Oryzias latipes: one gene and its partners. The protein of the gene in region 1 interacts with the protein of each later gene in a pairwise test. Links are inferred from orthologs where the notes say so. Each region holds a gene or a part of one and is shown on either strand. Other genes may lie near its edges.

What was found.
Region 2: the proteins of heterogeneous nuclear ribonucleoprotein Q (region 1) and prmt1 interact in binary tests that used the Homo sapiens proteins (3 or more experiments, as listed by UniProt). The link is inferred for Oryzias latipes from reciprocal best matches to the Homo sapiens genes SYNCRIP and PRMT1.
Region 3: the proteins of heterogeneous nuclear ribonucleoprotein Q (region 1) and heterogeneous nuclear ribonucleoprotein D0-like interact in binary tests that used the Homo sapiens proteins (3 or more experiments, as listed by UniProt). The link is inferred for Oryzias latipes from reciprocal best matches to the Homo sapiens genes SYNCRIP and HNRNPD.

What each region holds. Positions count from the first base shown.
Region 1 is NC_019882.2:1,562,519-1,566,014, reverse strand, and holds part of heterogeneous nuclear ribonucleoprotein Q, read left to right. Parts: intron 1-46; coding exon 47-223; intron 224-324; coding exon 325-460; intron 461-550; coding exon 551-756; intron 757-1,342; coding exon 1,343-1,492; intron 1,493-1,578; coding exon 1,579-1,700; intron 1,701-1,784; coding exon 1,785-2,391; 3' UTR 2,392-3,496. UniProt on the Homo sapiens protein: Heterogenous nuclear ribonucleoprotein (hnRNP) implicated in mRNA processing mechanisms. Component of the CRD-mediated complex that promotes MYC mRNA stability.
Region 2 is NC_019866.2:24,804,359-24,808,747, reverse strand, and holds the start of prmt1 (protein arginine N-methyltransferase 1), read left to right. Parts: upstream 1-1,534; 5' UTR 1,535-1,630; coding exon 1,631-1,657; intron 1,658-2,555; coding exon 2,556-2,651; intron 2,652-2,727; coding exon 2,728-2,883; intron 2,884-2,959; coding exon 2,960-3,023; intron 3,024-3,092; coding exon 3,093-3,235; intron 3,236-4,310; coding exon 4,311-4,389. UniProt on the Homo sapiens protein: Arginine methyltransferase that methylates (mono and asymmetric dimethylation) the guanidino nitrogens of arginyl residues present in proteins such as ESR1, histone H2, H3 and H4, FMR1, ILF3, HNRNPA1, HNRNPD, NFATC2IP, SUPT5H, TAF15, EWS, HABP4, SERBP1, RBM15, FOXO1, CHTOP, MAP3K5/ASK1, MICU1 and NPRL2.
Region 3 is NC_019870.2:2,825,263-2,829,349, reverse strand, and holds the start of heterogeneous nuclear ribonucleoprotein D0-like, read left to right. Parts: upstream 1-1,218; 5' UTR 1,219-1,579; coding exon 1,580-1,746; intron 1,747-2,838; coding exon 2,839-3,007; intron 3,008-3,666; coding exon 3,667-3,828; intron 3,829-4,087. UniProt on the Homo sapiens protein: Binds with high affinity to RNA molecules that contain AU-rich elements (AREs) found within the 3'-UTR of many proto-oncogenes and cytokine mRNAs.

The DNA of each region.
Region 1 (3,496 bases):
TGGTATTCACCTGTATTCTCTGCATTGAATTCTCTTTTTCTGGTAGATCTTTGTTGGGAAGATTCCCAGGGACTTGTTTGAAGATGAGCTGGTTCCTCTCTTTGAGAAAGCTGGATCTATTTGGGACCTCAGGCTCATGATGGACCCCCTAAGCAGCCTTAACAGGGGTTATGCTTTTGTTACATTCTGCGCTAAAGAAGCAGCACAAGAGGCGGTCAAACTGGTGAGTTCATGGAGTTATTTTCAGACAAAAACTTTCATTTTCAAATTAAAATGGGCCGAACGGCCTGTTCCTGACCGTCATCCTGAAATGCCTTTTTACAGTGTAATAACTACGAGATCCGCCCCGGAAAGCACATCGGTGCGTGTATATCTGTCGCCAACAACAGGCTGTTCGTTGGCTCTATTCCCAAAAGTAAAACAAAGGAGCAGATTGTTGAAGAGTTTTCAAAAGTCACAGGTACGACCGGGGTTCCTGTCGGTACTTGAAGAACTTTCCTTAAATATAAATCTTGTGATTTATTTTGTTCTGAATCTTCTTTGTGTCCAGACGGCCTGAACGATGTGATCCTGTACCATCAGCCCGACGACAAAAAGAAGAACAGAGGCTTTTGTTTCCTGGAGTTTGAAGACCATAAAACAGCCGCTCAGGCACGGCGCAGGCTAATGAGTGGGAAGGTCAAGGTCTGGGGCATCCTGGTCACAGTGGAATGGGCTGATCCCATCGAGGATCCCGACCCAGAGGTCATGGCCAAGGTGAGCATCACCCTTTGAAAACCTGATGCTGAACTGAGAAACCCAATGCATGGAAACGCCTGCAGGCCTGTTCCTTTGCCCCCTTGGGGAAGGATGGGTTTGTTTGAATGTTATCTGGCCAAAGCGGTACTCTTCAAAAAGTGTTACTGCATGACAGAGTACTTAAAATGCTTAATGTCCTTATTTTTAACAGTCTGCAGTGCACCTCTGTTTTCACACACACAAGGAAACATATTTTACCTCTCATCGCCACGGCAACAGACTTTTTTCAGAGCAGTGCACATTATCCGTCGGGTAACTGTATTAGGATCTTCTGCTGTGAAGTACAGACAAAGCTGCGCTCGCTAGAGTAAAGCTCCACCCCCACAGCCTCACGCCTTCTCATAGGAGCCGCCCACAATCACTGGAAAGGCAATATTATTGGCTAGAGTTCAGTAAGACTGGAGAGTGATACGTGATATGAACGAAGCCCAGAAATCTGTTTTTAATGGTTCTGGTAATGCGGCACACGTTGGTACAAGGATGTCCTGACAGAAGGAAGCTGCACAGGTCTGATGGGAAAAGCGTTTCTCTATCTGTGTTGCAGGTGAAGGTTTTATTTGTGAGGAATCTCGCCAACAGCGTTACGGAGGAGATTCTTGAGAAGTCTTTCAGTGCGTTTGGAAAGCTGGAGCGAGTGAAGAAGCTGAAGGACTATGCCTTCATTCACTTTGAGGAGCGGGAAGGTGCAGTGAAGGTACACACTTTCATTCAGAACCAGAGCATTCTTTCTAAAAAACAACACAAAAGAATGGACCTAAAACTGACCAAACCTTCATTTAGGCCTTGGATGAAATGAACGGGAAAGAACTGGAGGGAGAGCCAATCGAGATCGTCTTTGCCAAACCGCCGGATCAGAAAAGAAAAGAACGCAAGGCTCAAAGGCAGGCAGCCAAAACACAAATGTATGAGCTGTTAAATCAGCAGGAAAGCCTTCCTCCTCCACAAATACTGACTTTATGCTTCTGATTTTTTTTCCTTTCTGTCAGATATGATGATTACTACTATTACCCTCCTGCTCCCCACGCGCCCCCTGCAAGAGGCCGGGGCCGAGGAGGCAACCGGGGTGGATACGGCTACCCCTCCGACTACTACAGCTATGATGACTACTATGACTACTACGGCTATGACTATCACAACTACCGCGGCGGCTACGAAGACCCCTATTACGGCTACGAAGACTTCCAGTCCCCGAGCCGAGGGCGCGGCAGCAGCAGGGGCGCCCGTGGCGGAACTTCACCGGCTCGAGGACGCGGCAGCGCCGGCGCGCCGAGGGGCAGGCCCAGCTTCCCCCCGCATGGAGGGCCTGGACCGAGCCGCGGAGGGCGGGGAGCGAGAGGAGGCGTGCAGCCGAGAGGGCGAGGAGGGGTACGTGGTGTTCGGGGTGGCCGCGGTGGAAATGTAGGAGGAAAGCGCAAAGCTGATGGGTACAACCAGCCAGATTCCAAGCGTCGCCAGACCAATAATCAGAACTGGGGCTCTCAACCCATTGCTCAGCAACCCCTCCAAGGTGGTGATCATGCTGGTAACTATTTTGGTTACAAATCTGACAACCAGGAGTTTTATCAGGATTCTTTTGGGCAACAGTGGAAGTAAACCAGTAAGGCTTTCATAAAAGGAAAGAATTTATCCTTTCTGCCTTGTTTTTTCTCATTTAGAGACTTGATCTAATTGGCCCTCTATTCCATTTTGTTGCCAGCTTTATTTTTTTGTTTTTTCCACTCAAAAGTTAGTGACACCTGGCAGGATATCTTTATGTATATATTTTATCGATCCGCTTGGACTCGATCTAGTCACTCTCACCTGCTTCTGGCAAACTGCATTTTTTTCCTTTGTTGTTTTTGTTTTTTTAAGGTGGTCGTAAAAGATTCTTCAAATCCAACTTTTCCAACATTTTTAGATGCGAAATGTGCTGAAGCTGTCTATTTGGCTGTAGCTTAATGTATGTTTTATAGAAATTCTGATTTTAATGTTTTAACTAGTTAAAATAAAAAAGCTACCAAGCTTCTGTCTCCTAAAAATGTATTTAATAAGAGTGAAATTACAATTTGTATTGTAAAAGTAATGCGTGTCTTGTTATTGAAAAGAAAAAAAAAAAAGGACAACCGTAGTCCTCATTTTTGGGCTTTACATTTTGGCTTGTATTCTTTGCTGTTTGTCTGCTTTAATAAACATACACGCACACGTGTACAAAAACTTCAAATTGTGTCGCAAATTCATGTTTCGGCAAATTCTCTTTTCAAATTTTCTTCAAATTTAAGGCTCCATGTGGAAGAAGGTGGACTGAAGGTTTGCCATTGTTGGCCATATGCTACAGTGTCACCTTGCATGCCATCCAGTTCCAAGTCACCTTCTGTAGTCGGCATCTCAGAGCTCTGTCTGTGTAGTGGCGTACCTCATGTCCCAAAACATCTCACTAATTGGTGTCCCAAATTCACTGTCAACGCAGCGACGTCAGAACGGCCTGGGGGGGGGGGGGGGGGGGGGCACAAAAGCACAATTGGATTGTAGCCTCAGACTGAAGCTTTTCCTGGTCCCAGAAGGAACTTTGCTGTTCACAGCGTGGAAACTAAACCTGCATGTTTATCTCCAGGTTTGGCGCCGGACTTGTGTTGGGAAGCAGCGCTTTGCATGCCTCCTCCCTGTAGATCTGATTTATGCCCTCATTCCTGCTTCACCCGTGTCTCTGCCATCTCAGCCT
Region 2 (4,389 bases), on another chromosome or scaffold:
GGATTTCTTGCAAAAGCCTGTAACTTGCTCAAAATCTTTAGTTCATCTCTCCAAACTAAGTCTTTATGTCATTGAACATGTCAGTGCCATCAGAATGTCAAGTCCTTGTGTCATTGTCTACGAACAAGACAGTCAAATGACTTAGTCATGTTGTCAATATAACTGTGTACTTTAAAGGGAGGTTCTGATGGAAACTATGGCTAAAGTTTGGATGACAATTATTGTAAAATGGAAGTTACACCTTTTTTTTTTGATTGCAAGAGACTGGACAAGATTCACATTTACACTTTTATTGTTCATATTGTAATTTGTAGACAGACCATGTCATACCAACATAGAAAAAACCCACTGCAAACAGTAACACAAAGGGGAAAAAAGATAGGACAATATTCTGTCCAACAGTCCAGGCAGTGCAGTAGGAATTGGTGTGGTCTTCCTACACCTCTTGTCGTTCCTGTATGTTAGGCCACAAATTCTCATCCACATCACAGCGAATATCCTCTCTTGCAATGCAGCGAAATATGATTGTCACATTATGACAACTTGGTCAACCATTTTGCAGTTAATGACTTATACGATGAACTAATGACTAGGAGTTTTGAGGAGTAAGACTATTGCACAGTGAACTATATAATACATTTTGATCAACATGACATAAACAATTGATAATGTAGCAAAGAGCAGAGAATTGTACATAATCATTTGCATGGATGTACCAAAGCAATTGCAACTTGTTCAAAGAAGTGAGAAACTGCTTATATGATGTGCACAAGTGACATCATGATGTGAAGATTGAACAAATAGTTTTGGGAATTTCATTCTGATCTGACAATTGTACTAAAGCGACTGAAAAAAACTGTAATTGCTTAAACAAAAGTTTTCTTTTGCCAAATTGTGTGAAAGTGAGAAAATCGTTGAGTCCAAATCCCTTCACTATATAGTGCGTCTACAAATCTACATTTCAAAATCCAGGGCCCTAGAAATATCCCAGAAGTCTCTACGAAAAACCAGTGAGCATGGATAGATAGATAGAAAGATAGAAAGAAAGATAGATAGACAGACAGACAGACAGACAGACAGACAGACAGAGAGACAGACAGACAGACAGACAGACAGACAGACAGACAGACAGACAGACAGACAGACAGACAGACAGATAGATAGATAGATAGATAGATAGATAGATAGATAGATAGATAGATAGATAGATAGACTTTATTTAACAGTTTTTAATATTTTAACACATTTTGTTAAAATATTTTTATTTCATTTTTTTTATAAACCAGCAGTTTCATTATCATTACCCAGTGGATTCATAAATTGTCTTTTTAAAGTGTTTGTAGCATTTTTTTATAGTTTATTTTGGGAAAACGTTGGTAAATGTATAGTGAACAGGTCCTGTGGAGCCCATAAAATAGCCCTCACCCTCAGGAAGGTTAGTGATTCCTGCCCCAGATGGTGGTAAAAGGGGCAAAATGCAGAAAAAATGTCTCACGGGTAAAGCGGTATTTCCACCGTCTGTACAGTAGGTGGCGGTGTAGGCCTTCAACGCAGATTCAGATTAAATGTACGGAGGAAGAGAAGGAAGGACGGAGTAGAAGAAGAAACGGACTCTTCGCTGTAGATCGAAATGGCGGCGCCAGCAGAGAGGATGGAGGTGAGGTCTTTGAGCGGGAAAAACGCTCATTTGTGTTCGAGGAAACGTCCGCGAGTTTTCCCGCAGGCTCCGGAGCGGCGCTTCGCCGGTGTAGAGGGGGTGTTAGCGCTGGAGTTTCCGGATGCTGCCGCCGCTCATTCATCACAGTGTCGCATTTACGAGAAAAACAGGGGAAACGGTTAAACTCTTCAAACTGGCTTTTGTTTACGGTGGGGTCTGGTGTGTATTTTCGGTTCGACGCTGAAGCGACGGTGGGGGGGCGGCAGGCACGCAGCTGGCGGTGGAACCGGCAGAGCCTTCGGACCGCATGGAGACTAACGTGCTAGCTGCCGGGCTAATTAGCAGCTCGTGCTAACACGCTGATGCTGAGCTCGGATCCGCCGGACGTTAGTCTGCCAGAGTTTACGTTAAAACTCTCGATCAACGTGATCCACTACGGAGCTCCACGTGGGTCACTCCACCCGCGCGGTGCCGGTTTACCGGAAACCTGAACTAGCTTTTCTGTCGAGCCTGGAGTGGAAAACCGGCGAGCGGGTAGTCCCACTGTTTCATCCCGGACTAGACTAGAATCTTCGGTACCGGTTCTGCCGTCCTCTTGAGTGTCCCGGTCTCTGAGCTGGTCCAACAACAGAACCTTGTTCTGGAAGTTGGTCGTCACGTGTGGCTTTGTTACGACCGAACCGACGTTACCGGGTGGGGGTGGGGGGTAGGATAACTCTAACTTCCGGTGGTCTCATGGGGCATCGGGTCCACGTCCTTTGTTCCTCTGAGGCAGCGTTAACGGATCGGTTGTTTCTCTGTCTTCTGTGTTGCCTGGAACCGGACCGGCTCCTCGGCGGTTCCAGATCACGTGACTCCTTTGATCTGCAGACATTCATGGGGTTTTTCCTCCTTTGAGGTTTCTCAGGGAGAGAGCTCAGCCAAGCCTGCAGCTGAAGACATGACATCCAAGGACTACTACTTCGACTCCTACGCCCACTTTGGGATCCACGAGGTACGCCTTCGTGTCCCGTTAAACCTGCGGCCCCCGGTGCCCGCGTCCTCAATCGCCCTCTGCTCTGTTCCTGCAGGAGATGCTGAAGGACGAGGTCCGGACCCTGACCTACCGCAACTCCATGTTCTACAACAAGCACCTGTTCAAGGACAAGGTGGTGCTGGATGTGGGCAGCGGGACGGGCATCCTCTGCATGTTCGCGGCTAAAGCCGGAGCCAAGAAAGTCATCGGGGTAGGAAGGCGTGGACTCGGCTTGGCGGCGCCCGGTTGCGGCGCCTTGTCTCATCCGTGTGCTTCTGCCGTTACAGATAGAATGCAGCAGCATTTCTGACTACGCCGTCAAAATAGTGAAGGCCAACAACATGGATGACGGTGAGTCCACCGCCGTCCGGTGTTGACCGCTGAATGTGGAGGGAAGGTCCTGACCTCTTCTGTCTCTAGTTGTGACCATCATCAAGGGGAAGGTGGAGGAGGTGGAGCTGCCGGTGGACAAGGTCGACATCATCATATCGGAGTGGATGGGCTACTGTCTGTTCTACGAGTCCATGCTCAACACAGTCATCTACGCCCGCGACAAGTGGCTGGTGGGTGTCTCCTTCTGGACGTCAGCGCTTCCTCCAAACTAGTAACTGTAACCACTGACTGTATGTGAGACCTGGACTGAGGGAGCGGGACATGGAGCTGCATGGCATGAAGAAAATTAGCCACCAATATTGCAACAGACAAACAACAACAACAATATAATTGATATAATAATGAGATTTTTTAAAATAAGTCAACAAACTGTACTGCCAGTTCTGTCAATAGGAGATGGGTAAGCGGGTAAATGCCCCCATCTACCCGGTCAAGAACAGACTAGATAATTTGTGGTTGGGTGTGTTTTAAACATTTGTCTGACTGTGCATATGTGTCAACGTTTACGCCCTCTTTGCAATGCGGGATTGCTCAAGTTGATATGGCCATGTTGATTGTTTTTTGATTTTTTTTTTTGTGCAGGCCTAGAATTACGTCAAACGATAGAAAAGTTCAAAATTAAATTTTTTACGCTGCCATGTTGAAGCCAGACAATGTCAGTGAGCAATGATTGGTCTAAGTTGTTTCTATGACAACCAATCAGAAGAGAGCATGTTGGAAGGCCACACCCCTACCACTTAAAGTGGGCTACACGAAAATCTGTCAAACGTTTCTAACACAACCTACTTTTGAGGCTTCTGATTGGTCAGTTTATTGTTTGAACTACAGAAAAAATATTTAAATTATCAATAGATTGTTAGGAAAAGGCATCAGATCCAGAACGGTTCTTCTGACCAATAGAACACAGGACGAACAGCTGTCTGTTTCTCTATAGACGTCTATGGGACATTGGCTTCTTGGAGTCACTTCCTGTTTGGAATGCCAGAAGGGAGGGGTTACTCAGTCCAGTTCTCTGAAACAGTCAATGGTCTTAACAAAAGTACGACATTTCAATGATAAAAGTTTCTACCAAAGCTGAGCTGACGGCAAAGGTTGGCGGCTGGAATTCTGGGAATCCCTCAAAGATCCTCCTGGTGGCTCTAGAAAGGAGCTTCTGCTGTGAACACAGTCATGATCGGTTCATTGAAGATGTTTAAATGTAACCCCTGAGTGTGTTCCTAACACTCATGTCCCCCTCCCTCACAGAAGCCGGACGGACTCATTTTCCCTGACAGAGCTACTCTATACGTCACGGCCATTGAAGACCGGCAGTACAAGGACTACA
Region 3 (4,087 bases), on another chromosome or scaffold:
CATGTTCAGCATCGTCAGTTTAGCCTCCGCGTCGGGAGATGGCGCTGTTGAGTCGTAAAACTTATTTTAGTGGGGAAACCAGAAATTGGTGATGAGTACCAAACTATTGAATTACAAGACGACTACTCACTATAGTGCGTTTGCCATTTTGTCCGCATCTATTCCGAAATCGAATGGCCCAATATTCACATTTAAATTCCAAAATCAAGTGCCCTACAAATTTCCCAGAAGTCTCTGCGAAAAACCAGTGTGCAACACCAGATCGATGCACACTAGATTTTCGAATACAGACCACAATATGTTGCATTAGAACAATTTTTGCAAGAAATAATAAGTATTACCATCTATTTTTGATAAACCACTTACGTTTTTTCATGCTTTTGTCAAATAAAAGTTATAAATTCATAAAAATACAGTTACAAAAACAGATTTCTTGATAAATCAGGTATAAAACTGTTTTTTTGCACATTTTAAAAGCTAAATGTAATATTTTTTTACAACTTTTTGAAGCCTTTGTTTATCATTATATATGAAAATTGTTGAATTATTTTTCACAATTGTACAACTTTCTTCTCACAAATTAGATTTTTCTTCATAACTGTATGACTTTGTTCTCATGTTGTACAAACTAATGCTCCTAACTTTTAACTTTATTTAATAATTGTATGACTTTATTTTCATACATATGTCTTTTTTTCTTCTTTGATGGTGTCCCTGATGCGCCATCATGAGTGTCAGTGTTAGTATGATTTTTGATTTTGATAAAGTTTTTCTTCTGGTTGCTCGTTTGCTGAGCAGTTTTCCTTTCCTTTCATTTCAATTTCAGAATTTTATTTTTGTTTTTGTTGCCTAGCATTTTTAAACAAAACAATCAAATATAGAGTTGGTCATGCTTTTTATTTATTTATGTATGTATGTATTGATTGATTGATTGGTTTCTCCTAAAACCATTTCCATTATTTTGGAGAGAAAAAAAGGTCCAATACTAAAAGTCTTTCATATTTAGATTTAGAACTGTATCTAAAGATTTTTAAGATGAAGATAATTGGATCTTGGAAAATTAGGCTCAAAACTAAAACAACAAATCTCTTTATTTATTTATTAATAAGAGAACAATTCATTTGAATAAAGTCCCTTTTAAAAAATGTAAAATATTCAATTATTTACAAATTACCCTGGTGTTACATCTCCGCTGCAGCAGGTGGCGCTCTGCACTCAAATGCTCACTTGGGATTCGCAGAAGTAGACAAACAAGAAACGACTGGCAAGAAAACTAAAATATCGGATGAAAAAATATCCTTTAAAATTATTAGAACTGAAAGAAAATTATATTTAGAGATCAAGGCGTTTTCTTTATCTATTTAAATTTTGAGATAACTTCGAATAAGTTGAGCTAGCCTCGTCCTGTTTTTGAACATCGGCTTTTGTTATTTGTTATCTGTTAGCAGCTAGCAACTATCTTGGCTGTTAGCTTAAAATAAATCGAATTTTTTTTGGCTCAAAATTACTTTTGATTTTTTTTTTTCCGAAAATCATTTCATTAGAACTAGCATTTGATCTTTTCGAGAAAAAAGTGAAGATGTCTGAGGATTATGAATTTAGCGAAGACCCGAGTATGATGAGGATGGAGGAGGATGGAGAGGCTAACAATGACGACCCCATGTCAGCTCAGGGGGATGGCGGCCTGATGGGGGACGAGGCCGAGGGATCAAGGATCGACGCCAGCAAAAACGAAGAAGATGAAGGGTAAGTTTATCCGCGCGGGGAGCCTTTCATACAAACATACTCCCAGAGAGACTTCTGGGACATACAGCTCGGATGACCGGGAAAGCTCCTGCACGGTTATCCACGGCACTGTTGATCCATGGACGCACATTTGTTGTAGTTATTTTCAAATTGTTTTATATTTGCGGCAACGTTTGGTGAGTTCCAAAAATGTATTGGCGTTTATTTTGATTAGGATTATACCGTTTTAGCTAAATAAAAAAAACCTGTCTTTTTGTAAGACTTAGTTTCTGCAGAGCGGCGGGAGTTTATTAGAAATTCACCTCTAAATTGTGGGCGGGACCATTGGCACAGACCCCCCCCCCCCCCCATCACCCTAACTGAGAGGTCTCTATTCACAAGCCCTCCTGCTAGCTTATGGCTTCTCACAACCCCAAGCTACCATTAGCGGGGCAACAAATTCAGATCCAGATTCCAGCTCAGACGAGGAAAACAAAGCTTTGCAGATGGATCTATTAGTCTGTATGTAAGTGGATGCATTAGAATGGAGAGGAGCAGGGAGGTTGTGGCCCCGCCCAGCGTGTTTTTTCTACATCACAAATATGATCTTTTTCAAACTCTTCGTCTGCCCCTGATGCACAACGATTTGAATAAAGAAATACTCAGAAACACAGTCTAAGCTTAATTTTACCATAAATGTCGTCCATCATCAGAAAAATGCTACAAGAACATGCTAAAAATACCCCAAACACCTTTTTCATTAGTGGGTCTTTGAAGTTCATTTGAAAGTTTCTTTGTTTGTTTCGGGGAGCAGCAATTAACTGTGGCTAAAAAACACAATAGAAAAACATAATTTACATAAAAACATAAATTAAAAAAAAGGAAAAGCTGCCAAATTTGACCCTGTGGGTTCTTCGGGGTCATATAAAAACAAAGAGGCTTTCTTCAGTTCTTTCTGTTTCACTTCTTTCATCACACTGTTCACTCGTTTTATATTTTATGAATGAAAATGCCAGCAGCAACCCGAGGAAAGATTCTTATAGTTAGGACTTGGGTCACAACAAACACAAACTTATACCACGGATCTCCTTCCAAATGTTTTTTTGCTGGCAGGAAGATGTTTGTTGGAGGCCTGAGCTGGGACACCACGAAGAAAGACCTGAAAGATTACTTTGCAAAGTTCGGGGAGGTGGTAGACTGCACATTAAAGCTGGACCCCATGACCGGACGCTCCAGGGGCTTCGGCTTTGTGCTCTTCAAAGACGCCGAAAGTGTGGAAAAGGTTCGATTCTGTTCAATACCTAAATGTTGTTTTTACTGGGGTGGTGTTGAAAAAAACAGTCTGATCTAATCAAATGTCTCTCAGATCAAGGAAATTTTCTTGTAAGCACTGTCTTCTGTTTTGACTTTTTTAAAAAGCAGCTTTTTATTTTTTATTTTTCAAGAATTTCAAACATTCAAGAATTTATTCATAAAACGTTCACCTTTGTTCAGTTTAAATCAACAGATACGTGCAGATTAACTTAACTCATTTAAAAAAAGTTTGTTTCACAACTTTTTTGAAATAAATACATATTTGTTCGAATCACACTGAATTGACAATAAATCAGTGAAGCAGTTTAACATTTAACTGTTTCAGCTCCAAGTTCGTCTTTTATTTTGGAGGCTTAGTCATTTCCTTCATGCGAAAAAAAGCAATAATATTATTTATCAAATAAATTCAGAAGATTTCAGACAAACTCATGAGTGAACACGTCAGCCTTTTGAAATATTTCTTTACGTTTGATGTTGTTATGAGCAGCAGATTTCTGTGGAGACACGCCTCAACATTTTCCTTCTATATTCTGTTTCTAATTATTACATCAGCTTTGATTTTTTTCTTGTTGTTGTTGTGTCATTTAGTGAGTTTTATTTATGTATTTGCTGCTTTCTGTTCTGAAGGTGGCGTCACAGAAGGAACATAAACTCAACGGAAAAGTCATCGACCCTAAAAAAGCCAAGGCCATGAAGAGCAAGGAGCCGGTGAAGAAAGTCTTCGTTGGTGGTTTGTCTCCAGACACCCCAGAGGAGAAGGTCCGAGAGTACTTTGGTGCCTTTGGAGAGGTTCGTGTCGTTTTTTTTTTTACTCAGCTTAAACCAGTTTTTATCCTTTGACACACTTGATTTACTCTTTTTATTTATGAACTTTCAGAAGTTTTGCGTCCAATTTGAGACCTAAAGCGTAACTGCAGACCCTAAACTGTGTAATTCTTCTGTATTTTTCTTTAATTCTCGTCATTAAATGTTGCACTCTCGGCTTCTGTGCTTTTGTGAAAAACGCTCTCAGGGGTTTTCAGGTTTATTTTTTCATTTTGCTCTTTTA